Linked DNA regions of Oreochromis niloticus. The protein of the gene in region 2 purifies or fractionates together with the protein of the main gene of each other region. This does not show direct contact. Links are inferred from orthologs where the notes say so. Each region holds a gene or a part of one and is shown on either strand. Other genes may lie near its edges. The genes, in order: col5a1 and mmp2.

Region 1 (16,308 bases), on a different chromosome or scaffold from region 2:
TTGCAGCACTGACATTACGGAACCATTTCCTCTCGCAGAGCCTCACAAATAACAGCTCCAGCACCAACACACTGGGACAGCGCAATGAAACAGAATAATAAATACGAAATCCTGCACAATAATGATGCTTTTGTCTTCGTTGAGGACTATCCAGCGCTGCCTATCAAACCTATTTGCCTCGACTGAGCTGCTGTGCCTCACAGCTAATGATGGGAATCAATCCAAATGTGCAATGTTTTCTCACCAAGAAGGTGTTTCATCATCTTTAGTGAACTCAATGACCCATAAAGAAATAGTCCCACTCAGCCCACATAATCAATAATACAGTGGTTAGACATATGTGTGGTGGAACATGCTTTATATTTTGTGTGTCCAATAAAAATCCAATTATATTTCTAAATTGGGAATGTTTACATTCGAAGGCATGGCTAAGGAGAAGTAAATGAAAGCATCATTTCAAGACACACACGCAAGCTTGTCACTGGTGAGAATGGAAATCACAGAGAAAAGAATGAGCAAAGTTTTTTCTTTCTTTTAAAAGCAAGTCAATGAAGTGTGAAAAGGCACGAAAACAACAGGAATATATAAACTATCAGTCACATTTCTCATTATACAGTCTTTATATGAAACTTGCAGAAAAACAAAACCTTGCCATCTCATCACGGTGCCAGATAACACGCAACGAGCTGCACTGACAGCCAAGTCAACCATCAATTCATCTCCTGCTGACACTTTAACCAGTGTCACAGTTGAGCAACATCAAGCCTGTGGGTGAACAGAAGTTAAAGCATGAGTAAATCTCAGGAATGACAGACAGCTGCAGTATAAGTGATCAAAATCAGCTTCTAACTATGATAAGATGCACAGTCTTGAAGTCTAGAAGAAATGATCCTTCAGGTTAATTTCACTGAGGAAGATCTGTTCCCTGACAGTTTGCTTTTGTTCCTCTGTGTGTCAGAGTGTTGCTGTAGTCCCGTTCTGTTGCTCTATTTTTCATCATTTTCGCTTTCTTTGTCAAACTCACTTCTTTAACAATTTTGACATAACTGTGCCTGTCTGGCAATCCTTTCTATCTGTGTTCTGAAAATCAATCACTTCCTGTTCTTGAAGTAGCCTTTACTTTTTAAGCATTCTGCCTTCCTCCTAAAATACAGCCCTCCTTTCCCTACACATCACCATCTCGTCCAGGGAGCCTTTTACTAATTCTACATTATCACCACTAGCATCTAGACTCTGGAGGTCCTGCACTAGCTCCTAACTTCATTTAGAGCATCACTGTATGAAATTGCTTCTTATCATGAGTCTGTTCACAAAACTGTAACTCAAGACTCTAAATTACACAATTTTTTGTTGTTTTTTTACTTTCATTGGAAACATTTTCTGGGTTTTTCATGCAAACAGAGTACATGACATCAATGCCACAGGCCATAGTTTGTATTCTGAGTACAACTTGTGGTTGAGTTTGCATAACAAAAAAGAGTTTTGGCCTAGGATAGGGAAAGATTGCGGTTTTGGTTAGCATATCTGTGCAACCAAAACCCTTTTTGTCTCAACTTTTAGCTTTTCAATATCTAATGGGGACGATAGTCACTCCCTAAATACGGGTAAAAGTTTTATCGTGTTTTAAATTACGCTATTTTGTTGCAAGATGTTTTGACAGTGAACATTTTCCTCTTATATTGTCACCATTTTGCAACTGGGCAGATAATAAGAAACAGGGTTTCCTTTCCGGGACCTTTAGCCTTCATTCAGCTTGCTTCTGCAAATGAGTGAAACTCAAGCTTGTTCCCTTGTTGCTCCCTTGTAAGTTCATTGAGGATGGTTTCATGACAAAACACTGCTAAATAAGCAAAACCTTACTTTTTACTGTGTTATTATTTCAATTCCTTCTAAATTTGTCAACCAATAAATTAAAGAGTACATGGGGCTACAGTAAAGTTTCTAGAGTGACCAAAAAGCCATTGTATTTCCCCCTAGTAGGAAAAAAATGCTTACACTCAGTATTTCTGCTGCCCAGGCTGTGGCTTAGCTCGGGCTGGGGAAGGGGGAATGGGGTTGGAAAGGATGAGTCATACATTGCTTTCCATGCTCAATGGTTATAATACCCCATTACAGAGAGAAGCACTGTTTCCCAGCTAAAGTGAATACTCGGCTTGTGAGCCTGGACCAGAATTCACTTTTCACTCTGCCATGCACTACATGCTGCAACAAAGCATAGGGTTGAAATCAAAAACAGGCGCGGGGGGTTGCATCATTAGGTAGAGCATCCAACTTTTACATCACTCGTAGGGTCATGTTGACATTTCCAACACCACTGTCTCCATTTGGTTCCATTTGTCTCTGAGAGTGTAAGGAACACATCGTCCTCGTTTGCTTGCATTTGGAGCTGGAATGATCCATCTATGTCTGTGTGCTTTTAGCAATAAGCTAATTTGGAGAAAAATGTGCCACTGGCTTCAAATCAAGCACACTGTGTCATGAGTACAGAGGACCATTGAGCGGTTCAAAACAATTATTTGAACCTTAATTAGTCTGGAAAGGACTAGACGATATACTGTCCAAGATATGGCAAATAATGAACTATTTGTGCAGCACAAAGGATCTCCTTAACTCTGACACGGGGTCAAAAACTTGTCCTGCATATTTTGTTTTATCTTCCATGCTATTATCAGGCATTAGGGCTGATTTACAGAGTCGTTTCCACAAAGCCTGTATTTACAGGGCTGAAGTGGCACATGCAGTTGCAGGGTCACTGCTTCTCCCCACAGAACAGCTAACTCGGATTCCTTCCTCAGCGCCATGGCAATAGGCACACACAAGAAGCCACTTTTTCTCATCGCCATTTATCTGATTGAGTTTGACATGACCTCAGGATTGCCACTTCAAGGTAAGTAAGAAAAGCCCTTCAGAAATTCAGAGCAAAATTACAGTTACATTCTCACTGGAAGATTGAAGCTAAGGCAGATGGGTGATGGTAACATAGATCTGAAAATCCCTCCTGAACAAGCTTTCGTAAGGTTAAAACCCAATGTTGTAAATGAAACATTGGCATCGTTGCCTTTAATTTATATAAACTGATATGCAATTACCAATTAGCAAGTGGTTAAAATCTCTCCGGTCACAGTATCTTCTATGATTTTTTCTTACTGGGCTCATGAAGAAGGGTATATGGAAGAAAAAAAGGCAAAAACGAAGTAAGCCACATAAATTCCTTTTGAAAACGAGTTGTCTAGATATGAGACTATAAATAAAAAACAGCTGTGGACCAGCTGTAGTCGACCTTTAACCCTGCCATAAACCTGGGTTGCTTAAACAGAAAGAAGCTTTTAAGGGCCCTCAATGTGTATGTGCAGAGCTTGCTGAAATGCAAGGCGTAGCATCATTATTTTTTATCAAATCTGCTCTAAGACTGCAGATGTTATTTGATTAGAAATCTTCTCTAAAACTAGCACAGAATGTATTTTCACTTGAAAAAAAATGCAGCAGTATTTTTTTTCATGGTCCCCTGTTCCACATAGAATGGGAAGAAAACATCTGGAAGCCATTTTTTCTGGCTTTTTGAAGGGCTTAGCAGACAGCACAATGGAACTTATCAAGTCCAGATGGGAAGGAGCTCAGAGAAACAGCGAAGCCTTCTTCTCTATATTTCTTTAAAACGTATGTAGAGAATCAACAAATATCAGTTCTTACTATATAGTGTATTTCTCAAGTCACTACCATATTTTGTGATCAGCCTTTTCTTCCAATATTTTCAATGCCCTTGGTGACTTTGGCCAAAACCCATTCATGTTTTCATTTGCACAAGGTATTCAAAGAATGTTATTTCAGCATTTTTGATGACTAAAATACACTCGACAAGTAGGATCTGATCTGGTTTAAATGTCTGTTATTAACAAGGGCGATCCAAAAAAACTTTGCTTAATTAAACAACAACAAACCAAAGAAAAAAGAGTCAAAGCAGATTATCTAATACTTGTGAAAAGAGTCCATTGATTGAGGAGACCAGATTAAAAAAATGCAAGTCAGCAGAAACACAAAGGAAACCATTTGTAAATTAAGCTAGATTTCGTCTATAGCAGTTATACTGTGTCCCACAGACATCTGAAAACATCAGTAAGCTAAAAAGTAGAGACTACACATTACATATCAATCAATCCTAATTTGAATTCTGCATTTCAGGGTTTATATTGGCTCGGGAACTTCAAACTGTTGCAAAGGTTCTTTGAAAAGCACACATCTTACCCTGCTGCCTCCAAGAGACAGAGAAGAATTATGGGAAACAAAGATGAGAGGAGCTACACTATAAAGAATGCCTCTCTTCAGGCAGTGAAACTGTAAACCTGACAGCAGTCCTGACCTTCACCTTTGAACTCTGACCCCTCTTCTCATTCTTGTCCAGGGCCTTCTGTTATTACCGCTTTTCACATAGCTTAAACTGAGTTTTTCCTCTCTAATACCAAGACCAGGTCTTTCTAAACTTCAGTCTACTGAAAGACAAACTGACCGCAAAATATTAAAATATATACACTGTGATACAAGTATATAACTTATAAATTCAATACATATTTCTGCATTTGTCTTTATAAACTAATGAGTCAGGAGCTTATTTCATATAATTCAGCACCAAATAAGCTAAGCCACATTTAACAGCAGACACACAGCATTAAGCCTGCAAAACAGCAGTCTTTTATACTTTAAGAGAGACTGTAATAAAGCTGCAACAAATTAGCTTAGCTCCACATAGCAGGCTATTTTAGCATCATTTTCCAAACCGCTTTCGTTTACAGATCGTGGCTTTATAGTATTTGTTTATTAACTCATTTCTGTCTTTCAAAAAGTATCACATGCCAACAGTTCACAGTGAAATAGGCTCTGAATCAAATGTAGTTAAAATGTAGTTATATTTCATGGGTAAGTAACCCATTGTGTAAAGAATATGCTAACTGCTAATAGGTTAGGCCTTGCTGTATTGTTTGCTTGTCTTTTTATTGAGCTCTATATGCATTTTAGTTATAGGAAATACATTTGTTATAGATTTATGAACATATATATGATTTGATAAGAAATTTTTTAGGCTATGATCTTGACTGGGTATTGTATTCAAAACAAAAACCATTGTGGAATTAGCATCATACTAATACCTAAATAGCTGGTGATAAAACATGAATACAACATCAATTCTTTAGTAAATGGTATTTGCTCAACTGCCCTTTTTGATTTCAGTGTTAAACAAAAAAAAACAAAAAAAAAGCATACTTAATTTTTTTGTTTTTAATTTAAACATAGCTGACAAGCCCTAAAACAAGTAGTATTGTATGCCTGGGCAGGTCTCTACTAGTCTTCAGCTTGATGCATTTTGGTCCTCCCTCAGGCTAAGAGGTGATGAGGCTTAGGTCAGCGATAAGCTTTCACTTGTGATAAACTTGCTAATTGTCAGTAATTATTTGTAGACCATTTGTCTTATCTGATTGTAAAAGGTCTAGAAAAGTCATTAAGCAAAAAAAAATGTATTAATAGCAAAACTGGATTTAATATTTTTGCATTGCACAGTGTTTAATTGAAAGCAACTACTTTAAAATAATGATTGGTAAAATCTAAAAAAACAAAAAAAACAACTGATGGACAGAATAATTAGTTCACAAAAAAAAGCTTTCATGGAGTCGGCATGTTTCTTGCAATCAGTCATGAAGTGCTTCCTGTCTGGCATGTGTCAAGTTTCGGAAAATGTACCAGAACCCTTAGGGATTTCTTACAAAACTCTCGTTCCTCTCTGTCAGTTTCAAGAGATGATTAAATCCAGCCACCAGCATCAAAATGACCTCAGGCCCATGCTCTTTAATGTCCCACCAAAAATTCAACTCCTCCTCAGTCATCAAAAATGACCCAGATTTCAGTCCAGCCAGCATACAGTGACCAAAGTTTTGTCCAGTTAACAACCAGTGTTTATAGGAAACACGAAAATAAACACTTTGCAGTAGATTTCTTAGTGTATATTCAACAATATGAGCCTATAAAACCACTTCAACTTCATATGTTATTATCATGGCTTACTTTCTAAACTGGAGTGCATTTTGAACTCCATAATCGTCTGTAATCAGGCATCACAACAAATTTACCCCATCAGCACAATCATGGAAGCTTTTTAACTGCCCTGAGCAGACAGAAGAAGCCATCTGTTCATCTCAATGTCCTGTGTCAGACCTTCACAGCACACAGCAGCCCGTCACCCATGCCAGGCAGTCTTAAGGCGCTAATAATACATATAGGCCAAACATAAACCCAATGCATGCCCTCTCACCACTGAGACGAAGAGGTGGTCACTTCTCCAATTAAAATAAGCGGGCCTCTAACTGGCATACCAAACTATTATTTATTCATGTTTTCGGATTAGACTCATATAACTGTCACTGAGAAACATCGGGAGAATTTATAGAATGCATTTAGTGAAAGATGTGTTTGCTTGAGCCTCAGTGCAGGGCCCCAGCGCTGTCCCCTGATGTGGAGTCCTTAAGGCGGCTCCACCCTACCACTTCAGAGGACCTTCAGCCCCTCCTTCTTATGAAAATTATACCCATCCTTCTCATCTGCTGAAAAGAAGCAATGGTAAAAGAGTATTTAGACTTTAAGATGCACCACAGCAATTACTCCTACATAATAAGTATGCCAAAAAAAAAAAAACTAGTTACTTATGATGGTTACTAATTAATGCATATATTTCCTATTTTTAATGCATTCAAATGAATAAATGCACTTCAGCTATACTGCTTTGGCAAAAACAACAACAACAAAAAAACCTATGCACAACTTGCAGATGAAACCTCCAAAAGCAGTCTTTTAATTCTTTTTGACAACTTCCCATAGTTTCGGGGCACACCACCAAGCTGAATACATTAAAGAGGAGGGGCAGACATCTGTGGTCCACTATGAGCGAAAAGGCAAAAAACTTTTCAGTGCAAGGCTCCTCCAAAGTGCATCCACAAAAAAAGAAAGAAAAAAGAAAGGGAAAAAACCCCACACAGCTGCATCTCACCTGAACTTGCTTGCGACGTGATAAAAAGGAGAATCACGGATAAAGTGATTTGGACGTCCCTTATCCTCCGTTTAACTTTCCATCTTATATGGGTATCCATGACCGCCAGAGACGTCCACGGCAAAGTGGATTCACTTTTTCAACAGCTAATTAGACTTGCAAAAACTTCTGGTCAGGACAATTAAAAAAAAAACTAAAAGCCAAAAAAAGTCCCAGAGAAAAAAAAGGGGGAGGGGGGTATGTCGTTATTTCTCAAGCAGCCATAAGGGTTTGTTAGTGTGAGTTTTCCCCCAGCTGGTTGACGGACGGCCACCGTCTCTCCCGTACTCCTCTCCTCTCTGCGCTTCTGAACTGTCCTGCACCGCTGCGCCTCCGATCTGAAGTGCTGGCCCCTCTCTTTCAGTCGTCACGTAGAGCCCCTTCAAGTCAACAGGGCAACACACACACACACTCGCACAGAAGAGGGAAAAAGTCTTCCCCCCCAGGCTGTCACTCACTTTGCGGACAGGAGACTCGGGCAAATCAGAGGAGCCTGTATATTAGGGCCAGCCCTGTTATTGGCCGAGGGTGGGAGGAAAAGTTGAGGTGAAAGTTTCACGCCTCCAGCTCTTGCGCTCGGAATTCTTTTACATGGAGTCCGCTATTTCCAGAGACGTGGTTCAGAGCGGGAAAAGCAAAACTGCTTTTTTATAGGTGGGAAGGCGAGATGTTTTATCTGCAAGAGCTGATTTATCTGGAGCTGACTGCCATGGGACTGCGAGAAAAATCGTGCTGTACAATCCACAGGTGGACCCCCAGTGCTAGTTCAACCATATGATATAACAGTATACTGAGGCTAGATGATCAGATATATAGTGAAGATATACATCTATTTGTAATGTTCTCCCTTTTAAATGAATCAGATATTTACTCTAAGGAATAATCCACTCAAAGCTCATATCTTTTTTTATGTTAATCGGTGATCTACGGGCTTTAAACCTGTTGAATATATGATGAAATAATGTGCTTGCAGATTTTATTACCCTCTGAAGTTTTTTCATTAGTACCACAAACTTTAATGTTTAACAGTCAATAAAAGTAAATATGTAAAAGAATTTCCACCTTTTATGTGGTTTCTTTATCTAGAGCAGAGACGTGAATTCATTTAATATCATTCCCACATACAGCCCACTTTGATCTTATGCGGGTCAGACCAGTGAAACTACCCTTTATGTCAGTGTAGAGAAATGTAACTACACATTTAATCAATGCAAGATCTCAATATGAGAAAAAGAAGCTCAAATTCAACAGTATGTCCCACTCTCTCTGTGTGGCAAAGTAATGCCTCTGTAGTAAATTAAAGAAATCTCTCAGCATGACTCTTTGGGCTTGAATTGTAAGAAGTAAATGTGTAAAACACAGAAATCTATTGCTTAATTGCTTTGGTGTTGTATGAACGGCCTTATCAGCAGGAAAAGCTGTAAAGCTTGTGAAAATACATTTAAAAATACCCAATTTTCCTAAATTTCCAAAGCCATCCAGTGGGCTCGAATAGAGTTTTTGCTTATGTTTGACAACCCTAATCTAGAGGAGCAGAGGTGGGTGGTGATCAATGATAAGAATTTATATGGCAGTGAAAGGGATAAAAATAAAAGCTGAGGGTTAAAAAGAGAAACATCTCCAGGAGGACCAGGCTCAGGGAGGGTGGCCATGTGCCGCAAAGCTGGTTTGAAGGGGGGGAAAAGGGAAATGGAAAAGATGAGGATAGAGAGACAACAAACAATGCAACACACAAGAAAACAACACTTAGTGCCATATAGTCACCAATAACACTTTTTTTAGAGCTGAATGTGGCATGAGATTCAAACTTTCTGTTGTTTCAAGAACTGCCAAAAATGGCAGCTGTCTTTTATAAGCTGTCACATGCCTCCTCCAGTGGGGGGCAGACTTCTATTAATTGCCCAGTAAAAGTTGGTTTTAAGCAAAGTAAACAAGCAGCAACATTGGAAACCGTGACATGATGTCACATTGTGAAGTGGGATAGGATAGGAAAGGATGAGTCTGAACGTGGTCCCTCTAACTTTAGTCCTCTAAATTCAGACTAAGAGGTGTTTTATGTTACACGCTGTAGGATTTTTAAGAGTAACAGCTTTACTTGAAGGCTGTTAAGCTTGTTAAATTAGTTCAGCACCTTTGAAAGTCTCTCAGATGGGCTCTCTCAGATCCTCAGGTGACCTCTTTGGCCACATGGAAAAACTCCTTGGTTTTAAAGACATTCATTTTTTCCCCTCTGTTGTTTGAAACGAAAAGCTTGTTCTCAAAAGCAGGGTAGAAATTTACATTAAGTATAAAGTAGTATTTCTAAACTGACCGCTTACCCATATACTGTAACCGTTACGTGGTAACATGGGTCAAATTATGGCCCGAGCCCTATATTTAGGGTGGGTTCGTGCCCACACCACACTTGCCCACACTGTGTTAATCTCAGAGACTCCAAACTACTCGTGAACAAGGCCGTCACGTGCTTACTTAATTTGCCTTCTAACCAAAAGGATGTTGATACGCTGATGCCGGCACACTGCTGGTTAACTTTCATTTGAGTTTGACTTTCATCATTTGCTAAAAAAAAACACAGTCCCTGTGAGACGTAAGATAGCATATAGTGTCTGAAACAGGAAATTATGATTTACTACTCAAGTGTTTCTATCAGTTTCTCCACACTTTGTTTTCCACACACACACCAAATATCAGGCAAGCTATGACAGTCTGACAGTCTGTCAGGCATTCTATTACTATTAATATTATTATTACTATTATCATCCAGCTTTTGCTCTCTTTTTTAATTCTTGTCTGCTGTTAGTGACACCTAAGGATGGTGAGACTGTGGCTGAAAAAAAGAAAAGTAGCTGAGAAATTCCACATCCTTGCTTGACAGTTTCCTCAGTAAACATATACTATGAGCAGAGTGCACCAGCTGTTCGCTGGCTCAAGCTTAGCCAAGTTATAATATTAGCAAAGTAAAGATTTATATAGCACTAAATCAAAGCATGCACTGCATAAACTGCAGTCACATGTTGAGATTAGTTACAGTACCTGCCAGGTGGGCCCATAAATATATATGGAATTTGACTGGCACACATTGATTTGACCTTTAATTAAATGTCATTAAAAAGGATTTAAGTTTGGAGGTTAAAAAGTAGGATTACTTAGGTCAGAGCTAAGCACTTAAAACTGCGTATGACAGCGGGCCGACTGACACACTGACACGAGCCTTTAAACTGTTAACACCTGATTGCAGCAAATTGCGTGTAATTTGTGCTTTTTCTCAGCGGGTTGGCGTTGATTGTACTATGGCTCCAAGAAGGGTAAACATTAGAATACACTAGTCACAAAAGTAGATTGCGAGGGAAGTAAAGTCTGATTCCAGACTGATGTGTTTAGTGCTTCTAACCAGTCACGTTTTATGGTGCCCAACCTGACCGCAACCTTAACCCTAAGCAGTAATCTCTATCTAAGGTGTGCGGGAATGATATGTTTACATTTCTATTACAGCTAAGTACATTTGAAACAGAAAAAAAACATTGAATTTTAGAATATACCCATAAATCACCTTCACAGTTTTACAGTGATAATTATCGGTGCAGCTGAAATACATATAGCATGATGCCTCCGCCTAAAGGCAATTCAACTATTTGGGGGGAAAAAAATAGCACTACCAATTCTGAAATTGGTAGTGCTATTGGTGGGCCAAAGTGACTTTCTTCTCTTTTCTTTTCTTTTTGTCTTTTCATGACAAATGTCACTACGAAATATAGGAGCAAATTTGTTCTTTGATTGTTCCTACTGTAAGCCGTTTTAATGAAATTGCATATTAGTTTTAATAAAGCAATATGACCTAAGTCTTGTCCCCATTTATTTCATAGAAAATCTGTGTGTACGCAACCTTGAACTGGGTAAGGAGATTGGGATGAATGAATGGATGGAAAAGTTGTAAGAAAGCCTTTCAACTAGTTTGTTTAGTGGCTTTTTAAAAAAATATTTGTTCTTGCTTTCACATAATTTTTTACCGAATAGTAAAGCTATATATATATATATATACATACATACATACATGTATATATATACATGTATACGTATATATACATTTTGCACAGCCTAGATTGATTACAAGAAGGCCTATGACTCAATGCCCCACAGCTGGATACTGGAATGCCTAGAATTGTACAAGATCAACAGGACCCTAAGAGCCTTCATCAGGAACTCAATGGGGATGTGGCGTACATCATTAACAAGACTGGCTACGGATACCGACTACGGAACGGAGCGGTTGTCAGCCACCTCCTGTACATGGATGACATCAAGCTGTATGCCAAGAGTGAACGAGACATCGATTCACTGATACACACTACCAGGCTATACAGCAATGACATTGGAATGTCATTCGGACTGGAGAAGTGTAGTCGGATGGTAACAAAGAGAGGGAAGGTAGTCAGAACTGAGGGGATTGAACTACCAGAAGGCAACATTGCAGACATAGAGGACAGTTACAAGTACCTGGGGATCCCGCAAGCGAATGGGAACCATGAAGAGACCGCTAGGAAAGCTGCAACCACCAAGTACCTGCAGAGGGTCAGGCAAGTCCTGAGGAGTCAGCTGAACGGTAAGAGCAAGATCCGGGCCATCAACACCTACGCCCTGCCCGTGATCAGGTACCCTGCTGGGGTAATAGGCTGGCCAAAGGAGGAGATAGAAGCCACTGACATAAAGACAAGAAAGCTCCTTACCATGCATGGAGGGTTTCACCCCAAGTCCAGCACCCTGAGGCTGTACGCTAAGCGGAAGGAAGGGGGCCGGGGACTGGTGAGTGTCAGCACCACAGTCCAGGATGAGACAAGAAACATCCACGAATACATCACGAAGATGGCCCCAACTGACAGTGTGCTCAGTGAATACCTCAGGCAGCAGAAACCCAAGAAAGAGGAGGAAGGCGAGGAACCATCATGGAAGGACAGGCCCCTGCACGGTATGTACCACCGGCAGATAGAGGAGGTGGCTGATATCCAGAAATCCTACCAGTGGCTGGACAAAGCTGGACTGAAAGACAGCACAGAGGCACTAATCATGGCAGCACAAGAACAAGCTCTGAGCACAAGATCCATAGAGGCTGGGGTCTATCACACCAGGCAAGACCCCAGGTGCAGGCTGTGTAACGATGCCCCAGAGACAATCCAGCACATAACAGCAGGGTGCAAGATGCTAGCAGGCAAGGCATACATGGAACGCCATAACCAAGTGGCCGGCATAGTGTACAGGAACATCTGTGCCGAGTATAACCTGGAAGTCCCAAGGTCAAAATGGGAGATGCCCCCAAGGGTGATGGAGAATGACCGAGCTAAGATCCTGTGGGACTTCCAGATGCAGACGGACAAAATGGTGGTGGCTAACCAAACGGACATAGTGGTGGTAGACAAACAGAAGAAGACGGCTGTAGTGATAGATGTAGCGGTTCCGAATGACAGCAATATCAGGAAGAAGGAACACGAGAAGCTGGAGAAATACCAAGGGCTCAGAGAAGAGCTCAAGAGGATGTGGAGGGTGAAGGTAACGGTGATCCCCGTGGTAATCGGAGCACTAGGTGCGGTGACTCCCAAGCTAGGCGAGTGGCTCCAGCAGATCCCGGGAACAACATCGGAGATCTCTGTCCAGAAGAGCGCATTCCTAGGAACAGCTAAGATACTGCGCAGGACCCTCAAGCTCCCAGGCCTCTGGTAGAGGACCCGAGCTTGAAGGATAAACCGCCCGCAGGGGCGCGCTGGGAGTTGTATATATATATATATATATATATCGTTAGCTTCATAGCATAAGTGCCTAAGTCATTTTCTGGTCAAATTGAGATTTTTGCCTAACTTTACTCCCCTACCACTGCTGCATCATCCTGTCCGTCTGCCTATGTCATTGGCCAATCACAACACTCATAAGAGTCAAAAAACATACTTGCCTAAGTCATTCATTTGACTTAGGCAGTTTTACCATTGGACTTAGGCAGTTTTGCTACAATCAATTTGACTTAGGCAGTTTTGATGTATGCAAAATGGCTGATAAGAAGAAGAGGTTGACCGCAAGTGAAGCCCTTGCTCTTCTTTTTGATTCATTTACATCTGGTAAAAGTTCATATTTTTTTAGTTTTTTGGTCACTAAATGTATTTTCATTCAATCAAAGAGGTTATGACCATGTTAAAAGATTACTTTTTTGTTGCAAACAAAGTATGATGGCTAGCTAACATTAGCGTTAGTAGTGTAGCATTAGCATAGTAATGTAGTACAAGCTAGCAGCTAGCTAACAGCAGCATGCTACCAGAGTAAATCTTTGGCAATTTCAAAGGCAATTTGAGCATTTTCAGCAAGTTTGCAAATTATATTATGTTTCAAACATTTGCTTTTTATTAGGAGGGGAGTCTAAGGACGGGGGACGCCCTGGGTTCATTGTTAATTGTTAAATTGGACTTTATATTGACTGTGTTCAAATGACTGATACTGGTTGAACTCTATTGCCAGTAATATTCATGTAGCCCTTTGAGGCGACTGTTGTTGTGATTTTGGGCTATACAAAAATAAATTGATTTGATTTGATATTAATAGTACAAATTGATTTTTTTTTTTTTTACATAGCAGACATTTTGACTACACAAGTAGATTTAGATGTCATCTTGATTTACCATTTTAAGATACTCCAACAGCATTTTATTTTCTGTTGTATCATCAGGAAAGGAAGTTGATGTGAACTTAGAGGAGTTGGTGGATATAGATGAGGGAGAAGGAGGAAATTATGTTGATATGGGGCAACAGACTGATAAGCAGCCAGAGGAAGGAGAGGAAGATGAAGGAGAGGAAAAGAAAGGGGAAGGAGAGGAAGATGAAGGAGAAGAAAAGGAAGGGGAAGGAGAGGAAAAGGAAGGAGAAGGAGAGGAAGATGAAGGAGAGGAAAAGAAAGGGGAAGGAGACGAAGATGAAGGGGAGGAAGAGGAAGGAGGGGAGGTGGAAGCAGAGGAAGAGGAAGCCAGTCCAACCCCCAGCTCTTCTGCTGTTCGTCACAAGCGTCCACTGCCCCATACGTGGAAGAAAAATGTCATCAAAGAAAAGCGTCTGAAGGGAGAGAATTACAAGAATACAATGGGACAGGAGAGACCACCAAAGGCCATGGGCCCACCATGCACATCACAGCACTGCTTCAAGTCAACGACAAGAAGTTGTGAGCTACTGACTGAAGTTGAGAGAAGAGGAATCTTCAACAATTTCTGGTCCATGCCTTCCTGGGAGACACGCAAGGTGTATATCCAGACTGTTGTTGAAAATGTGCCCATAAAACAGAAGAAAGGTGGTGTTGATTCAAGGAGAACAACATCTCTGCTATACCACCTGCAACTCTCAGATAGATGCAAAATACCTGTGTGCAAAAATCTTTTCTGTTCCACACTTGGTATTGCCCTGAGAACCATTGGATCATGGTTAACTGCAGGCATGAAACCCAACACTCATACCCAGCCCAACCCCAAGATCAACAAGACTGGTCCTCATATGCCAATATCAGATGGAGACCAGGCCTTCCTGAAAGAGTGGCTCTCTGGAATACCTACAGTCCCATCCCATTACTGCCGCCAGGTTCCCTCTTATCAGAACAAGAAGTTCCTGGAGCCAGGAACAGTTTTGAGAGAGCTTCACAAGGAATACCAGAATGCTGCCAATGAGAATGGAAAGCGTGCTGTGAGTGAGACATACTTTCGGAAGGTTTTTGGAGAGCAGGATTACTCTGTGTTCATTCCAAAAAAAGACCAATGTGACATCTGTGTAAGCGCCAAGGTAGGAAATACAGATGAGGATGCTCTTGCTACACACTTGAGATTGAAGAGTCAGGCTCAAGCTGAAAAGGCTGCAGACAAAAATGAATCCAGTGACACACTTTCAGTGTGGACAATGGACCTTCAACGCGTTCTTCTTTGCCCCCAGACAAAAGCAAGTACAATGTACTACAAAACTAAATTACAGATGCACAACTTTACCTGCTTCAACATGAACAACAGAGATGGGTACTGTTATGCTTGGGAAGAACATGAAGGCTCCCTCAGCAGTGAGGTTTTTGCACATCTGCAGTCCAACCACTTTGAGTCTGTCCTACAGGCCAACAGAAACATTGAGAAAGTCATTGTCTGGAGTGATGGCTGCGGGTATCAGAACCGGTGTGCTACCATCAGCAACGCCTACCTTTACCTGGCCATGAAGCATGGTGTCAGCATTGAGCAGAAATTTCTAGTTGCAGGCCACACACAGATGGAGTGTGACTCCATGCACAGTCTAATTGAACGGCGCATTGTGCAAGACGTTTACACTCCACGAGATTACGTTGTCATCTTTGAGGCTGCACGCATTAATCCATCCCCATACAGGGTGACTCAACTATACCACAATGACTTCATGAAGTTATCTGGCACCTATGTCACCAATATTCGACCCGGCAAAAAAGTTGGGGACCCCACAGTCCATGACCTCCGGGCTTTGCAGTACTTGACTGATGGACGGATCAGGTACAAGCTGGATTTTGAATCTGACTGGGAAGACCTGCCTCGGCGCATCAGCATACCCGACAACAAGCCATTCAAGTGGATCCCACTCTTTCCTGCTCAGTTGCCCATCACCCTGAGGAAATACAGTGACTTACAGTCAATGAAAAATGTACTACCAAGAGTGGCCCACAAGTACTATGATGATCTTCCTCATCAGTAGTATACATAGCCTACCAAATAGTACACACACACACACGCACGCACACACACACACACACACACACACACACACACACACACACGCACACACACACACCCGCACACGAAGAGAAAGAGAGAGAAGTGAGAGACAAACACACACAGACAGATACAAACACACATAGACACACGCACACCTCTTTTATGAGCCTACAGGCCTCCTCTGCAAATTAATGGGTGGGTGAGGTGAAGTGAGTAAGTCTCCTTACTCTAGCTGCCATTTTGTGATTAAAATTGAAAAGTTACAGTGTGTTATGGTTACATTATAGTATGTCATGTTCATTTTATAGTTTGAAGAAAAACTGCCTAAGTCATAGGCATAATCTGCCTAAGTCACTTTTATTAGACAAAAGAAATGATGTTGGGTTTTGTTCTTTTTCCATACTTTTCCTCACATATACTTAAATGTTCTGTGAAAATATCAATTAAAAATATGCATGTGATATTTAGAAAATTAGTTTTTTCTTGTTTTCCGAAAACACA
Region 2 (16,538 bases):
CTCATTGCGTCACGTTAAGATTTGTCTCACAACATAAATATGCTGAGCTAACAGAATGATAGATTCCACTTTTACAGTGGGAGAGTCAAGTGAGCTTAGCCCCAGAGCCCAGAGGGTACAGCTCTTTCTGTAAAGCTATAAAACTTGGCGTGTACCAGAACTCTGCAGCATACAAGTCTGACATGCCCTTCAGGCAACTTATGAAGTCAGACCAACAGGCCTGCACTAAAACTTTACCGATCCCAGATATCAGTGAGATATACTGTTTGTTAACTACAGTAACTTCATAATACTCTGTCCTCGTTTTCCCACCCTGATTTTCAGAATAACTTTTAAACTTTGCTTGATTACATTTTCACATAGCAACCTAAAATTCATGTCATATTAAATTAAATGTGTTTGAAAACATCACGGAACACCTTAGATTGGTGCACACTGGTGCTAACAAAGCTGGCAAACAAGGCAAAACATGAGGAAAAAGTCTAAATATGCTATAGCTAAGCTAAATTTCAGTGTAACGTATGTATATGTAACTTTAAGCCACCTTAAACTGAACCAGTTTGCTCTGAATACCATCTCTCTGCAAAATGACAGTTTAATCATCTGTTACACTCCACCCAGGCAGGTGATGCTTAGCACTGTCGTCAACCTATCATTTAGACACAATGTCATGGCTTTATTTAAACAACAGTGACCTGAGAGCCAAGGTATGTCAGAAACTTGTGCTTGCCTTTACATTAATGTGACTGTGTGCATTTTCAGACTTCAACGATGCGTAAAGTGAAAATAAAATCTCTACTTTAAAAACACTGTCCCAACAGTTAAATAAGATATATAATGTTTCAGCTGGAAGAAAAAGATCATTTCAGCTGACTTGATGACCAACAACTGATCCAGAGTTTCATGGTTCACTGCACACTCCCTGCTAGAGCCACAGCAAGGTGAAAAATATTGTAACTCAGTGAAAAAAGCCAATCTAACTGACTCTTGAGTATTTTGCAGATGCATCTACTCGTAGCTGATTTCCAAATGATTGTGACAGGATATGCTGCTCTTAATGTTGAAATTACAGTGTTTGTGTCAACAATGTCAACAGCTAACCCATCATTTGTTTGTCCTAACAGTTCCTTTTTGTAACATGCCACTGGGGTAAGGTCTTTGTAACAACCTTCAGCTGTTGCAATGAAACTGTTCATCTTTCTACGGGAAGTACCCTGACTCACAAAGACTGTTGACCGAACCACAGGACTTTATGCAACTTCTTTTCTACAGAGTCAGCCAGTAGACACTTAGTAAACCTACATGACTTTGGATTCACTGGCGCCGGTGGAGAAGAGGAGTGTAGACTATGTTTATGAATGATGACTACTTTGGTTGTCACTGCGTGAGTAGAGGGATAGCTTGTTTTCAACTCTTACTAATTGTCATATCACAAAACAACCATTTACCCACAATCTTCAAGTGGCACAAGACTGTAAAAAGAGAAACCATAATTAACAAGAAACCTCATCTCAAACTGCTCATTGTTTGCAGGGATGTGATTGTGAAATCCAGTTGGTGCAGGCTGCTTTGTTTCAGTCACGCAAGACGATACAGCCTGAAGCAGGCAATTTCGTTTTCTTTATCACTCTTCGCACAGATCACAGACAGGAAATTTAACAGGACTTTGGCAGAGCTTTCAGTGTTCACAAACTCAGCCTTTACATCGCATTTAAGACTCAAAAGAGCAACTGGGAACATTACAGCTTGCATATCTAAAACACTTTGCCTGGGCTTTAGACTTTTCTTACATTGAAGTCTTTTTTTAAAAAAAAACCATACATCAAGCTGCTAACTGAGATGATTACCTGTCTTTGAAGAAGAATGTTTCTCCTCTGATCTGTGCTACAGCATCAAAGATCACTGGCTCATTACAGATATCCATTGGAGTGACAGGACCCTGGGTTGGAGGCAAAGGCTTGTCTGTTGGCACACCTGTTGTCAGATTTACCACAATATTTATTATTTAAAGGGGTCTGCAAATGATGCACTCACAACATAATCATTTTCCCAGTCACTTATTGGTATTTGACTATATGTGGCATTTTCTCTCACCATACAACTCCTGGATGCCTTTGATGTCATCATTGGAGAGCCTGAAGTCTTTAGTAAAAGTGTAAACAGGGGCCATCAGTGCGCCGGGGTCCTGAGAGTGCTCCAAACCAAGAGCATGACCAAATTCATGGGCTGCTACCAGGAACAGGCTGTAGCCTAGAAACAAGTTAGTTTAAACAAATCTCTATTATCTTTCCACAGTAAAAAAAAAAAAAGAAAAAAAAAAGAAAAAGACAGATTCAGTGTCTTCCAATCCATTGGCTCTTGGGAAAAAATATCCCCAAATACCACTGGCAAATTCTTTTACCTTGATCAGGACAGAAACCCCATTTGCGGTCATCATCGTAACTCTTGGTGGTAGCGCACCACATTTTGCCATCACTGCGTCCAGAGGTGGTGCAAGATTCGTAAGTGTCTCCCAGGAAGGTGAAAGGGAAGACACAGGGGCTTCCATCTGCATTGCCCCCCACTGTTGACATTGCTGGTAACAGCAACAAAATGCAAAACAATAAATGCAAAATATGTACTGAATTCAGTTGCTAATTATCTTATAAATTCACTATGCAAAGTGATTTTTTTTTTCTTTCCGGAAAAGTTTGGGTTATTATGAAATGAGTGCAGATGATGTTCAGAAATAGCGGGATGAAAGCAGCTGGCACAACACACACGACATCAATAACTAATCCACTAGGCACACAACCAAAATGCACCCACCCAAATTGATTTTCTTTCAAAGAGAGATCATTTTCAGTCTGGCAAGAGTGATTTTGTGTTAAAAAAGAGAGAGAGAGAGAGAAAGAAAGAAAAGAGTAAAAAAACAACAACAACATAATTTCTTATTCGGTACAAGTTCTCACACAGGCCTCTGCAGCAAAGCCTCATCCCTAATCAAATAAAACCAGATGAAAGCACCAACGGTAGTACCTCTCCCTGTATGCCTTTCTCCCTACCCCGGTACCTCAACCCTAAAACAAGTCCTACTGACAGAATGGAAAATAGGCCCTGCTACTGCACATTAAAATACTTTTATAGCTATTCAGCCCACCACGAGCATAACCAAAAACCACAGCTGCAGAATTCCTGTAGCCCAACATATGGCAAGGCACTATGCACTGCTCATCAAAAAAAAGCACAGCTAGTGAAATATTTATTTATTTAAGTGCTGTTGCATAATGAACACCGTGACCACTATGCACACCTAAGTGGACTTCAACTTGATGTGATTATCTTTCATTTGGCTATTTATTATGTGAATAAGAGACAACACATAACACCACCTACCAGTTTCAGGGCAAAAGCCATACGTTTTGTCGCGGTCATAATCCTCAGTAGTGGCACACCAGCGGTAGCCATCATCTCTGCCCTGAGTGGTGCATCCATCATACTTCTCCCCCTGAAAGTTGAAGGGGAATTTACATGGAGCCCCTTCTGCATTTCCACCCAGGGTGAAAAGTACTGCAAATCACAAAGCAAATGAAGTTATAGATGGCCTAATAAAATTAAAAACAGTATTTGTTTTTACATTCTTCTAATTAAAAACGAAATGCAATTGCGATACAAAACCAAAAAAATTTGAATTAAGAAGATAGGTACCACTGGAACTTTTTTTTTTTAACTTCAAAACTAAAGCTTAACAAAATAGAAGACTCCAGTATAAACAGGCCTTACTTGTGTTTTTTCACATAAAATGACTTTGAACGTGTATTTTGGCAGTTAGTTGTAATAGCGTCTGATCATGTTAGTACCATGGACAGCAACATAACAGAGATAAACAAAATGTTTGACAAAGCCTCATGTTGTAAAGTGGGTCAGTAACTTGGAGAAGAAATGTTCCATAATTCACTCTAAAACCCCCCCAAAACAAAACAAAAAAAAAAAAGCATTTTCCTGGCCAACCTACTTTCTTCATGTTCAAAATCAACAGAACAGCTTTGAGTATAGCTATGATGTGATATTAAGTATTACTTTACTAGTACTGAAAGACTAATTAAATGTTTTGTCTGGTTCAATAAGATCCAAGTAGGGCATATCACTCCATCTAAGGTCATGTGGGGCCACAAAAGTTTCAAAAGCAAAACGTGCAAACAGACATCGCAGCTGCATGTCAAACATACAGTATATGTTTTAACAATAAAGGGACCCACTGGGTAAGCTTACATTCATGAGGGCAGAAGCCATATTTGCCATCTTCGTCAAAGTTGTAAGTGGTGGAACACCATAGGAAACCGTCATCACGACCCTGAGGTGTGCAGCTGTTGTACTCAGTGCCCATGAACAGGAAAGGGAATTTACAAAACTCGCCATCAGCATTGCCAAATTTTGCCTTCACCACTGTAAAACAAAGAATGCATACATAGATACATACTTATGTATAGAAAGAGGTGAAGCTATATGAATATTCACTCTATGGTGCTTGATTTCATATGATGCTTTCTCAATTTACTATGAAACTTTGTAGCATTAATTTCACACATGTTTAGAAGGTAATTTTTGTAATAAGCAAGCTAACCAATAACATAGCAAGCTTCTCCTGGAAGTTAAAGCAAATGTTGTTGTCTAGAATTTGGAAAGCAGTTTCAAAGTAGGCTTTGAAAAATGTCCAACAAAACTGTATAATGCAGGGTACAAATGATTTGTATGTAACAGTATGAACAACAAACACATATTGAGAAAATAAAAGTTCATCCAAGAGATCCTCATCTGTTCATCTGTTTGAAACTAGCACCAAGAGAAATGGAAAGTAGGTTTATAGATTATTTTCACACAAATTAAATATCCAGACATAAGGATGTTAAAAAAGGGGAAGTATTTGGGAGTAAAACTATCTGGGTCAATGGATGCGAATACAAATGTGTGCAATAGAGATTTTTTTAAATTTAGCTTCCAGATGTCTGTAGTTTGAAATGATGTCAGGTGCCAGAAAAAGATGCTTGGAAAAGAGTATCTGAAAGTTATATTAGTTTCTACAATGTCAAATTCTCACCAGACAAAATTTTAAATGAACTTGTCTAAGCAAAAAATGAAGAACTAAATAAATGAAGAAATCGACACTGGTGGTTTTGCTGCATGCACTTTTTGTAACTAGCATTCTTTCATTACCTTGCCCCTCTCCAAGTGTCCACTGCTCATCATCATCAAAGTGAGAGTCTCCACCAATTCCTGGGCCTGGAGCAAAGGCATGAGCCAGGAGACCATCCTTGCCATCAAAGGGGTAACCATCTCCATGCTCTATTGATGACATCATTAACCAATCAAAACAGGTATACTGACTACTTAAGACATGATGTGACATTTGTTCATGTATGCAAAGATTTCTGTTTCTGAAGCAACAATTCCATGTCTTCTTCAGCGGCCGATTTTCGGTTGCGTTCCCCTGTAATTACTAGATTCTTTCTGAATACAGTCAGCTGTGACCAGACAGAATGTGGGTAAATATCAAGTGGTTATTTTAGCTGGAATGTTTGGAATGACTTGGGTTAATACCATAATCCCCACTGCCTTTAGAGAATTCCTAAAATACAGGATGGCTGGGGTGTAGAGTCACTTTGAAAAGAATGTTACTTTAAAAAGATGTATGTTTTTGCTCCTTCAGCATTAGTCTAGAACTCGTGAGCTTCTGTTTAAATATTGACTTGTGCTAATTATTATAGGAACATTCTTAGAATTTTATCCTGCAGCACAATCTCTTTATTCTATTACAAAGATGTGGCAGATCCAATAAAAGGAGTATTTTGAGGGCTTACAATATGCGTATTACTATAAAACAAACTGATACATTTCTTTATTAATTGTGATCCTCGTAAACCCACCTGAGTACAGATGTACAATAGTTTTCAAATAACAAATGGAATATCTACATAGCGTGATGTTTATACACATAGTATACCATTGCGGCCAAAATTAATCATGATGTCAGCTTCTCCATCCATGATGCGGGTGAAAGTGAGTGGCGTGACATCACTCCATACTTTGAAGGCCCTGAAGAAAGCATCATTTATGACTTCTTCATCCAGATCGGGAGTGTAACCCAGGATTCTACAAATTGAGTAGAACAAGACAAACAAGCATGATTTAGATTGTCCAATCAGGACAATCTGTGAGTGTTGCAAATTCTCCTTTCTTTACTGAACATCATGGAAAATAAAGAGGCCAATATGAGTAATCTGTAAAAGCGCCTCCTGAAACAATGTTCAGCCGCAAACCCATTTGTATGCCTGTCTACACAGTCCTTTTCCTGAAAACAGTCTAAGATCTCATAGTTGTTATTGTCTTTGGCTTCCAGTCTTTCTTATAAACACACAGGCAGAGAGGCTGGAATGATCAGAACACGCAAAACCGCTGATATAAATAAACTACATCCACATCATAGTAAACCTCAAACAGAATGAAAACAAAGGACCTGACACATACTGTGTAGGAATGTTGGTGTTAGCGAGACATAAAGATGCAAGCACTTCAGACTGTGGGGATGGGGGTAGTGTGGAATGGAGGTTGTGGAGAGGGTGGGGCCGGTTTTAGAGGGTCAGACAGGGGCAAATATTTCTCAGTATCAACAACTTTGATTTATGGGCAATTGTTAAAGCAACAGATTTTTAAAAAAGTGCTGTGCAGTAAATGGTTCCCTAAAGTGCAGCATGCCAAGTAACTCAAAAACTATTAGATCACACCCAGTGGTAATGCCATAACCATTTTGCAGGCCAAGCTGATTAAAACCTCCGCAATTGTTTGAGAACTAATTTGGAGTCACAGTGGATTGGCACTCACTCCCATTATCATGTGTGTTATTGTTAATTCTCTGACCTGTAGGTGACGTCCTTGTTCTGCCATTTGGGTTTTCTGTGGAAGAAGTTATAATTGGCCACATCTGGGACACCGCAGCGGGGTTTTTTCATGATCTCTACAGTTTTGGAATCAATCTCTCCAGTTTCTTGCAGAGAAAAAAACTTTTGCATTTTCTTCAGGGTATCCTTGAGAACCATAAGATTACATCTGTCTTGTGGGCATCCATAAAACTTGTTTAGATAATGCTAAAGTTTGGATAAAAACATAAAATAATAGGTTAGCGTTGTTAGGGTATCTTTATATAAAATTAGAACAATAAGAAATAAATAATGTGAAAACTACTCCTGTTCATTTCTGGTACTCCAGGGGTAAAAACAGTTCATTGCTGCCTGACCTACTTAGACATATTCTGAGGAAGGAAAAAAAGAAAAAGAAACTTACCAAAGCAACTTCTTTGTCTGTTCTGGGGGTATCGTCTCCGGGAAACCTGATAATAGGAGAAGGACGAGCATTTACTGTTTGGAACGCGATGAACTGAAGCAAAAACAATTTGAGAAGACTCCGACGACAACTGAATATCGTCGGAAAGCCCATTTTCTCGGGTTAACAGTATATCTTGTGCGGTAAGTGCCGTTCGCTCTGAGTTGCAGTCCTTTCAGCCCGTCAGCTTGTGTTGCTTCTGCTCCTCAGCAGGATTTTTTTTTTCTCCTTAACGGGACATCCTGCACCTCGGGTCTGCAAACTTTCTTAGTTCTGCTTGCACATGCACTTTTCCCCCGACGCCTTCTGCGCAGTCTCCAGGTTGGGAAAGAAATGGGGACGAACCAGCAAATCAAATGCTGAATGATTCATCGACTACAGTTCTTAGTCACCCGCTTTTACCAGAAAACGTCTACAAATAAATAAAAATGTTCTTTTTTTATTGTTTCCTTATCTTTTTTTTTTTAAAGAGTAGGATAATCATCTAGTGGAGAAATTAACCAATTTTGGGCTCTCGCCCAAGCTGACCAATTAAACCAATGAAAACCTTCCGCTTTTTAAGTGTGTATTTCTTAAATTAATATGTGCAGATTCCAAGATAAACTATAACCTGCATGACAAGAGGTTTCAGCACATTGTTTGACTTTTTTGTTTGTTTGGGGATGATCTTTATCATTTTTCTTTCCAAACTTAAAATCACCTATTTGTTTACTAAATTACGTTCTGTCAACCAATTCAGCCAATAACTTTATAATTGGTAGAAGTGGGCGGTACTCATATATTTTATCCGCCTCTAGCTCGACTTTTTTGGTACTTTTTTGCACTGCTCACTGCTGTCTGAGAGCACCACCACACCCCCCTTCTAACTTTCTGACTTCCAGCGACCGATTTTCTTTTCTATCCCTATTCATGAATTTCTAAATAACCACTCGCGTTGCGGTGGGTAGAGGGAGCGGGGGGGATCATTATACCGGATTAATTTGGAATTCACTGACGCAAAGCAGCTCTACGCTTCCGTACAAAGCTGCTGAGCGTCACCACACAATATATTACCTTGCCAGGAGAGAAAAACAGCGACACCCGATTGCAGAAAGGCCAGAAGTTATTGAAAGTGGTAGATTGACATCTGCTGGTAGGATGCGAAACTGGCCTCAATATTTGGAAGCTAAAAAGAGACCATATATGTATTCTACCCATGAAAACTAATAAGGAAAAAAACAAAAACAAAGGATGAGTGTGTGTGTGTGTGTGTGTGTGTTCGCGTGGGGGGCGATGTTCGCTAACGCTTACTTATCCTAGTATACATGTTATAGAAAATAAACACACAGTAAAATATGATAAATAAATATATTGCTGTTTACCATGAGTTGACTTTAAACCTCATCAGACATTTTACTTAACGACAGCAATCTGCAAATGAAAGATGTAGATATATATAATAGAACGCCTTGTAAATATACTATTCTTGGACTGTGCCTGGTCATAAGATTTGTAATATCATATATATATGTATATAAAAGGTTTACAAAATATTTTTGTGCAGTGGAAAATGTATCGTATAGAATCTTTCTTATGTAGTTTGGTGTATAACGCTTCGCTTCCCAAAGCACTGTAATGTACTATAATTTACACTAAGTGAACTAACCTACTTTAACTATTGAATAGTTACAGTGGTGATTGGTGCCCTCTAGTGGCTCACATATAACAAGTACCTGGTCTGTTTTGTGGCCCTTGGAGCCAGTGTTCTTTCCTGATTTGTAATCTACAGCACAGATTTAGGATTTACTCTAACTCTCTTTGACATCTCTTTGTTTCCGCTCTCATACTGGATTACTCTGAACAGCATATGAGAGCAGACTCTTTAATAGAGAGAGCTGAAGGACTTTTTTTGCAAAGAGATCTGACAGATGGATAGCTCACAAACAGGATTTTGTGGTATATCTAGCAAAGCAATTTCCCTTCCCTTTAGCCAGAGTACAGTTAATTTTTCATAGCCGGGGCTGCTGTTGGTGGTTGCAGAGTGAATTTAACATCCATTTGCCAACAATATCCAGGACCTGTCACTTTGGAGCAGGAGCTTTATTTCATGCACTGATACATGCTGCCATCTCCTCTAACTGACACACTGGCAGTGATCTCTCACAGAGCCGGGGAACAGAATGGCTACCTATTAAATGTACATGGGCCTGCCTCTCCAAATAGAAAATGCTGGTATGTGAAAAGTTGAGCCACAGCTACAGTAATTGAATGCCTTTGTGCATATGAATGCAATTTTGTCGGCAAAAGTGGCATAAAGAGATGGAGATGATAAGGTTTGATTTGCATGTAAATTGTTTTTCTCTCTCCCTCATTCTCTGCTGGATGCTTAAGCCTTTTCTAGATTTAAGCACCGCACATGTGTGTTTTGATGAAATGCAGTTGTTTTTATTTAAAGTGGGTATCTTGTTGCAGTTGATTGCAAGTGCATCTGTCCCATTTGTATTTGTTTGTGGCTGAGACAACTGATTTAACCATAATCACATTGGTAGGGCTTGCTTTACACTAACACAGATGATTTGTACTTCATTGTTTATATATACATGTGTGTCATTATATGTCATATATGTGTGTGTGTGTGTTTTCTCTCTTTCTAGCAATCTAATGCAAAAACGCAATATGCTTGTGCTGGTCCTACACCATACAAACTCATGCAATTAATTATGAGGATGAGCAGCCTTCTCCAACGTGCCAGTGAGGCCTCCTCTTGCTTCTGGGAATGGGACACTCTGGACATGAAGGCCAGTCAAATCATGGCTCTCCAGCTGGCTTTGGATCTTCAGCCCCACTGATTGACCCCCGTCCAGCTGAACAGACCGCAGACCTGGATGTCACCCTGGTCCTCTGGCTCTTGCAAGGACCCAGACAGATTCTCTGATGGGTCATCAAACCAAACTGCCTGTATGGCTGGCTAGCACCAAGGTCATGAATGACAAATATCACAGTCCCACTGCTCTCCTCTCACTCTAACTCAGAGCCACTCAAAGTGTTTGAGCGAGTTGTAATGTTCAGTACTTTTTGGTCTGGACTTGAATGCGTGGTGTGTAGTTAATAATGACACTGAGTGGTTTAGAATCAGTCCATTGGCATTGTTTGTTTTATGTGTTTTGCAGGGGTAATTAAGAAATGGTTGCTGAGTAAATGAAAACAGCAGTAGCCCTGTCAATAAATCTGTTTCAAGATAACTTAATTTGGCTAAGCGCTGTGTTACAGAATACTGCGACACATATCACTTGGTTTGAAACATTCTGATGATGAATTATTGAGCATAAATCCATTATCTTGAACATATTTTATTTATGAAAGCACCAAGACACTGGAGGACTTTAACACTGCGGGGTAATTATTGTTCCACATTGTGTCACCGCTCTTCTCTCAGATGCAACTGCCAGCGCAAACTGCAATGAATCAAAGAATTGCGACTTTTGATTGGCATTTTGTGTGTGCACAAGGCCCAAAGCGACATTAGCTGAATTGCTTTATTTAATGCTTTCTCCCTCATTCTGTCTCTCTTTTAGCACGCCTTGTAAACACTGATGCAATAATGCATTCCATTATACAGCGGAGAGGAGATGAGTGTCTCGCGTGGCTCTTCTCCATCTGAATAATAGGTCAACAGCTGTATTTAAAAAATTAATCACATTCTTGGCAGTTGCAAAGGTTAGCCGAGATGCAATATTGGAAGCTCAGATCAGCAGCAAATCTCTGCGGAGATGAGGAAGAGTTGCCTTTGATGAGTACAGCATGTAAATGATTTGTGTGTGTTTATGGGACACGGGGCTGGCCCTGCCTCACTCCAAGACAGCAGCGTCTGCACCACTCTGTGGCAGAAACTGGCAACAGCAGATGGAAACAAGCAAGTGAAGAGATGGCTGACCGTGCCACAACATTTCACAATTTGTTCTCTGTTTTACAGCAGAAAAGCTATCTCTCTACCTCTGTAGCTTAGTATCTATATGTTAACAAGTACATATAAATGATGTCTATCTGTAGTATATATAAAAGTTTAGGTTATAAGTTTCAAATAACAAACCTTAGACCAACTAAACAGCTTGTTGTTAATCCAGTTTCTTGGTCTTGACCTTGATCCAGTGTGATTTTTTTAAGAAATTCAAATATTGATGCCTCGCCTACATCAAAGACAAATTACTCTCAAAGATATCGTGAGGTACAAGGACATGCATATGAAATATAAATGTCTACCTTGGATTGCTTTTAGTTATTCTAAAATATTCACCGTGGTATTTTGGAGCGCCATGCCGATTGCTTGTTGTGCGCAGGCTGACATTTGGGGATGAATTTTTCAGTAAGGATCTGATTTGGCCGTCACAGTAAATGGATAGCCTTGAAAAGTCAGGAACATTGCTACCTGGATTGTTGGATGAAAATGAAATAGTGCATGATGCAAGTAACTGAAAGGAGTGTTGAAATGCTGCCATCTGTCTGGTGCTCTTGACAGTTCTGAGAGCTGTGCGGCACATTAGCTATTATGTAGTTTGCAAATGTCAGGTTTGGAAGCTTCTGCCTCTCTTAACATATAAATTAGTAAACGCTTTAGACAATTATAACTTTACCACAGGATTCCAGCCTCCAGAAACCATTTACCTGTAAATATTTCTGCCTATAATTTGAGTTCATAGATGAACACCACTTTTTATGCAAATAGTGATTTTTTTCTTTCCCTTGGAGTATAATTAGGAATGGAAAAAAACAATCCTATGTTAAGTAATTGTCCATTAGAACAAAATGAAAATAGTGTTTCCAAAACAACATCGCCCCTTTGGGAAATCAATTACTTCCTTTAACTCATTAAAGAAAGAATGCCATGAGGCCTGGCAACATCTTTCCTGGTTTCTGAGCATCTTTTTAGTGTATTGAATTGTCACACTGTATCATTAATTGCCAAAGAAGAACAGATTCGGTTTAATATTTTGTTTTATTGGGGAAATTTGACAGGAAAGTTGACAGGCCTTTATTTCAAGAAAGTGCAGTATGCTCTGGTAAGCAGCTTTAATCTAATTAGATGGCACACACAAAAACAGACTGTGTGAATTTAATTTGATGTGTATCTTGCAGCATGCTTCAACAACTGGACTTGATTTAACTTTGTTTTTTTTTTTGCTTTTTGTTTCTCCAAATTCAGTCATCAGTCACATGTAAAGTTGAAATAAATCCGAACAGTTAACTCACCAAACCTGCTTCCTGGAAGATAAGCATAATTCCTTTAAAGCTCAGTGGGTCATACATTATTATTGTTTGGCTGTACCATCGCAAATTCCAGACAAAACTGAATTTCCTTTTCTGTGTCAATAACAAACCCAATGTCACCTCTGAAGTCGGGGGGTGCGTGATTTGATAAAGGTTTTTTTTGTGCTTTTCCAGTTTGACCTCTCTCACCTTGTTAGGAAGAAAAGGTTGAAGTACTCTTTTCCCCTCTGGCAAGTACAAAAAAAGCTGAGTATCCTGTATGAACACAGTTTAACAAACACAGCTTTTTAATTCCTGGTTTTAAAAAGGGTATTAGGTGCATGCACTTTTGACAGATATTTGTAGATGTAGATGGTCAATACGTTCATTTTTAAAAGGCAAAAGATGTTGAAAGCCTGAGAGTTTTCTGTTATAAGGTGAGTCGGTTTCTGATGTTATCCTTGACATAATTTTGATTTATTATGAGTATTGCAAAAGGCCTTTGCTTTTCTATCCTGACATTAAGATTCCATATCTATCAACAGGGATGGCTTGTTTTACCATAAGGCCAGAGTGTAGCATGTATTGCATGAAAACAGCTTTGTTCTGAGATGTAGCTGTAGACTTGGGTGGATGTATGAGTCAGTGTTCCACCCGTGGAAGTCATGCCTCCTTCTATTGCTGCTACCTGTGATCTGAGTCACTTTTAGGACTGCGTCTGCAACCCACAGCCCCCCTGTGTTTTAACTACTGGATAGCATGCAAAGCACCATGTTTGTAGGATATTGAGAAAGACCTTTGACAGGAAGTGGAGCCCCACTGACCATTGGGGATCTGTGACCGTGGTTCTCTAAACTGGCATATCACATTTCTGTCTACATCCTCTTAAACAACAAACTCAGTAGTGTAATAACTAAATCTCAACAGGCAGTTTATTTATTTATTTTTTAACAACAACAACAAATTAGCAGCAGAAATCCAGTAATTCCTCAGTATATCCTGAGTGCATTGTGTTTGCAGCAATGAAATGTAAGCACAAATTAATCAGTGCAAACCAGAAAGATGGCTTACAATCAATTTATATAATACTCCCACATAAAAGATTTTTATTACAGGGAATCTTGGTAGGAGTTTGGCCTATAAAGAAATTAACTTTGTCTCTATGCTAAGTATACCAATGCATCAAGCCATTATCTCCGTGATAGATGAATCTTATTTGATATTACACAAGACAAATGTATTCATATGGCATATTTTTCTAATTTTTTCTGTCTGACCATCTGTGTGTGTTACATCTTACCGAGATTAATCTGCTGATCCTAGTGTGATAGAGGGCAGGTGGGTTTTTTTCTTTTTTCTTTTTTTCCCCTAATGCACAATAGTAAGCAAGAGCTGATACATACATACATACATACATACATACATATATAAAAAACACCCAGCACGCCCCTACGGGCGGTTTATCCTTCAAGCTCGGGTCCTCTACCAGAGGCCTGGGAGCTTGAGGGTCCTGTGCAGTATCTTAGCTGTTCCCAGGACTGCACTCTTCTGGACAGAGATCTCCGATGTTGTTCCCGGGATCTGCTGGAGCCACTCGCCTAGCTTGGGAGTCACCGCACCTAGTGCTCCGATTACCACGGGGACCACCGTTACCTTCACCCTCCACATCCTCTCGAGCTCTTCTCTGAGCCCTTGGTATTTCTCCAGCTTCTCGTGTTCCTTCTTCCTGATATTGCTGTCATTCGGAACTGCTACATCGATCACTACGGCCGTCTTCTTCTGTTTGTCTACCACCACTATGTCCGGTTGGTTAGCCACCACCATTTTGTCCGTCTGCATCTGGAAGTCCCACAGGATCTTAGCTCGGTCATTCTCCATCACCCTTGGGGGCATCTCCCATTTTGACCTTGGGACTTCCAGGTTATACTCGGCACAGATGTTCCTGTACACTATGCAGGCCACTTGGTTATGGCGCTCCATGTATGCCTTGCCTGCTAGCATCTTGCACCCTGCTGTTATGTGCTGGATTGTCTCTGGGGCATCTTTACACAGCCTGCACCTGGGGTCTTGCCTGGTGTGATAGACCCCAGCCTCTATGGATCTTGTACTCAGAGCTTGTTCTTGTGCTGCCATGATTAGTGCCTCTGTGCTGTCTTTCAGTCCAGCTTTGTCCAGCCACTGGTAGGATTTCTGGATATCAGCCACCTCCTCTATCTGCCGGTGGTACATACCGTGCAGGGGCCTGTCCTTCCATGATGGTTCCTCGCCTTCCTCCTCTTTCTTGGGTTTCTGCTGCCTGAGATATTCACTGAGCACGCTGTCAGTTGGGGCCATCTTCGTGATGTATTCATGGATGTTTCTTGTCTCATCCTGGACTGTGGTGCTGACACTCACCAGTCCCCGGCCCCCTTCCTTCCGCTTAGCGTACAGCCTCAGGGTGCTGGACTTGGGGTGAAACCCTCCATGCATGGTAAGGAGCTTTCTTGTCTTTATGTCAGTGGCTTCTATCTCCTCCTTTGGCCAGCCTATTACCCCAGCAGGGTACCTGATCACGGGCAGGGCGTAGGTGTTGATGGCCCGGATCTTGTTCTTACCGTTCAGCTGACTCCTCAGGACTTGCCTGACCCTCTGCAGGTACTTGGTGGTTGCAGCTTTCCTAGCGGCCTCTTCATGGTTCCCATTCGCTTGCGGGATCCCCAGGTACTTGTAACTGTCCTCTATGTCTGCAATGTTGCCTTCTGGTAGTTCAATCCCTTCAGTTCTGACTACCTTCCCTCTCTTTGTTACCATCCGACTACACTTCTCCAGTCCGAACGACATTCCAATGTCATTGCTGTATAGCCTGGTAGTGTGTATCAGTGAATCGATGTCTCGTTCACTCTTGGCATACAGCTTGATGTCATCCATGTACAGGAGGTGGCTGACAACCGCTCCGTTTCGTAGTCGGTATCCGTAGCCAGTCTTGTTAATGATCTCACTGAGGGGGTTAAGGCCTATGCAGAACAGCAGTGGGGACAGAGCATCTCCTTGGTAGATCCCGCACTTGATGGTGACTTGTGCTATGGGCTTGGAGTTGGCCTCTAGTGTTGTACGCCACATCCCCATTGAGTTCCTGATGAAGGCTCTTAGGGTTCTGTTGATCTTATATAGTTCTAGGCATTCCAGTATCCAGCTGTGGGGCATTGAGTCATAGGCCTTCTTGTAATCAATCCAGGCTGTGCACAGGTTGGTCAGTCTGGTCTTGCAGTCTCGGCTGACTGTTCTGTCTACCAGTAGCTGGTGTTTTGCGCCTCTGGTATTCTTGCCAATCCCTTTCTGTGTCCTGCTCATGTATTGACCCATGTGCCTGTTCATCTTAGCCAATATGATGCCTGACAGGAGCTTCCATGTAGTACTGAGGCAGGTTATTGGTCGGTAGTTGGATGGGACCGGTTCCTTCTTGGGGTCCTTGGGGATCAGGACCGTCCGACCTTCGGTTAGCCATTCCGGGTGTCTCTCGTTAACTAGCAGCTGGTTCATTTGTGCTGCCAGACGTTCGTGGAGTGCAGTCAGCTTCTTCAGCCAGTAGGCATGAACCATGTCGGGCCCTGGTGCTGTCCAACTCTTCATACTGGAGACCCTTTCTTGGATATCTGCCACTGTGATGGTTACTGGACCCTGTTCAGGGAGGTTGCTGTGGTCTGCCCTCAGATCCACTAGCCACTGAGCATTGCCGTTATGGGTTGCGTCCTTCTCCCATATGCTCTTCCAGTATTGCTCCGTCTCCAGCCTTGGTGGTGCTGTTCTCTTATTGTTCCCTTGCCACTGAGAGTACACCTTTGCTGGTTCTGTGGAGAACAGCTGGTTTATTCTCCTGCCTTCTATCTCTCTGGTGTACCTCCTCAAGCGGCTGGCCAAGGCTGTGAGTCTTTGCTTGGCAGTTTCCAAGGCCTCAGGTACGGACAGCTTGCAGCTTGCTA

What was found.
Region 1: the proteins of mmp2 (region 2) and col5a1 purify together in Homo sapiens (co-immunoprecipitation; 3 studies listed by BioGRID and IntAct, counting the BioPlex papers as one, with this or other methods). This does not show direct contact. The link is inferred for Oreochromis niloticus from reciprocal best matches to the Homo sapiens genes MMP2 and COL5A1.

Annotation. Positions count from the first base shown.
Region 1 is NC_031972.2:14,590,260-14,606,567, reverse strand, and holds the start of col5a1 (collagen alpha-1(V) chain), read right to left. Parts: upstream 7,539-16,308; 5' UTR 7,131-7,538; coding exon 7,031-7,130; intron 1-7,030. UniProt on the Homo sapiens protein: Type V collagen is a member of group I collagen (fibrillar forming collagen). It is a minor connective tissue component of nearly ubiquitous distribution. Type V collagen binds to DNA, heparan sulfate, thrombospondin, heparin, and insulin.
Region 2 is NC_031965.2:30,271,399-30,287,936, forward strand, and holds the start of mmp2 (72 kDa type IV collagenase), read right to left. Parts: upstream 7,623-16,538; 5' UTR 7,471-7,622; coding exon 7,318-7,470; intron 7,122-7,317; coding exon 6,895-7,121; intron 6,130-6,894; coding exon 5,981-6,129; intron 5,323-5,980; coding exon 5,194-5,322; intron 4,426-5,193; coding exon 4,252-4,425; intron 3,550-4,251; coding exon 3,376-3,549; intron 2,576-3,375; coding exon 2,402-2,575; intron 2,251-2,401; coding exon 2,095-2,250; intron 1,975-2,094; coding exon 1,848-1,974; intron 1-1,847.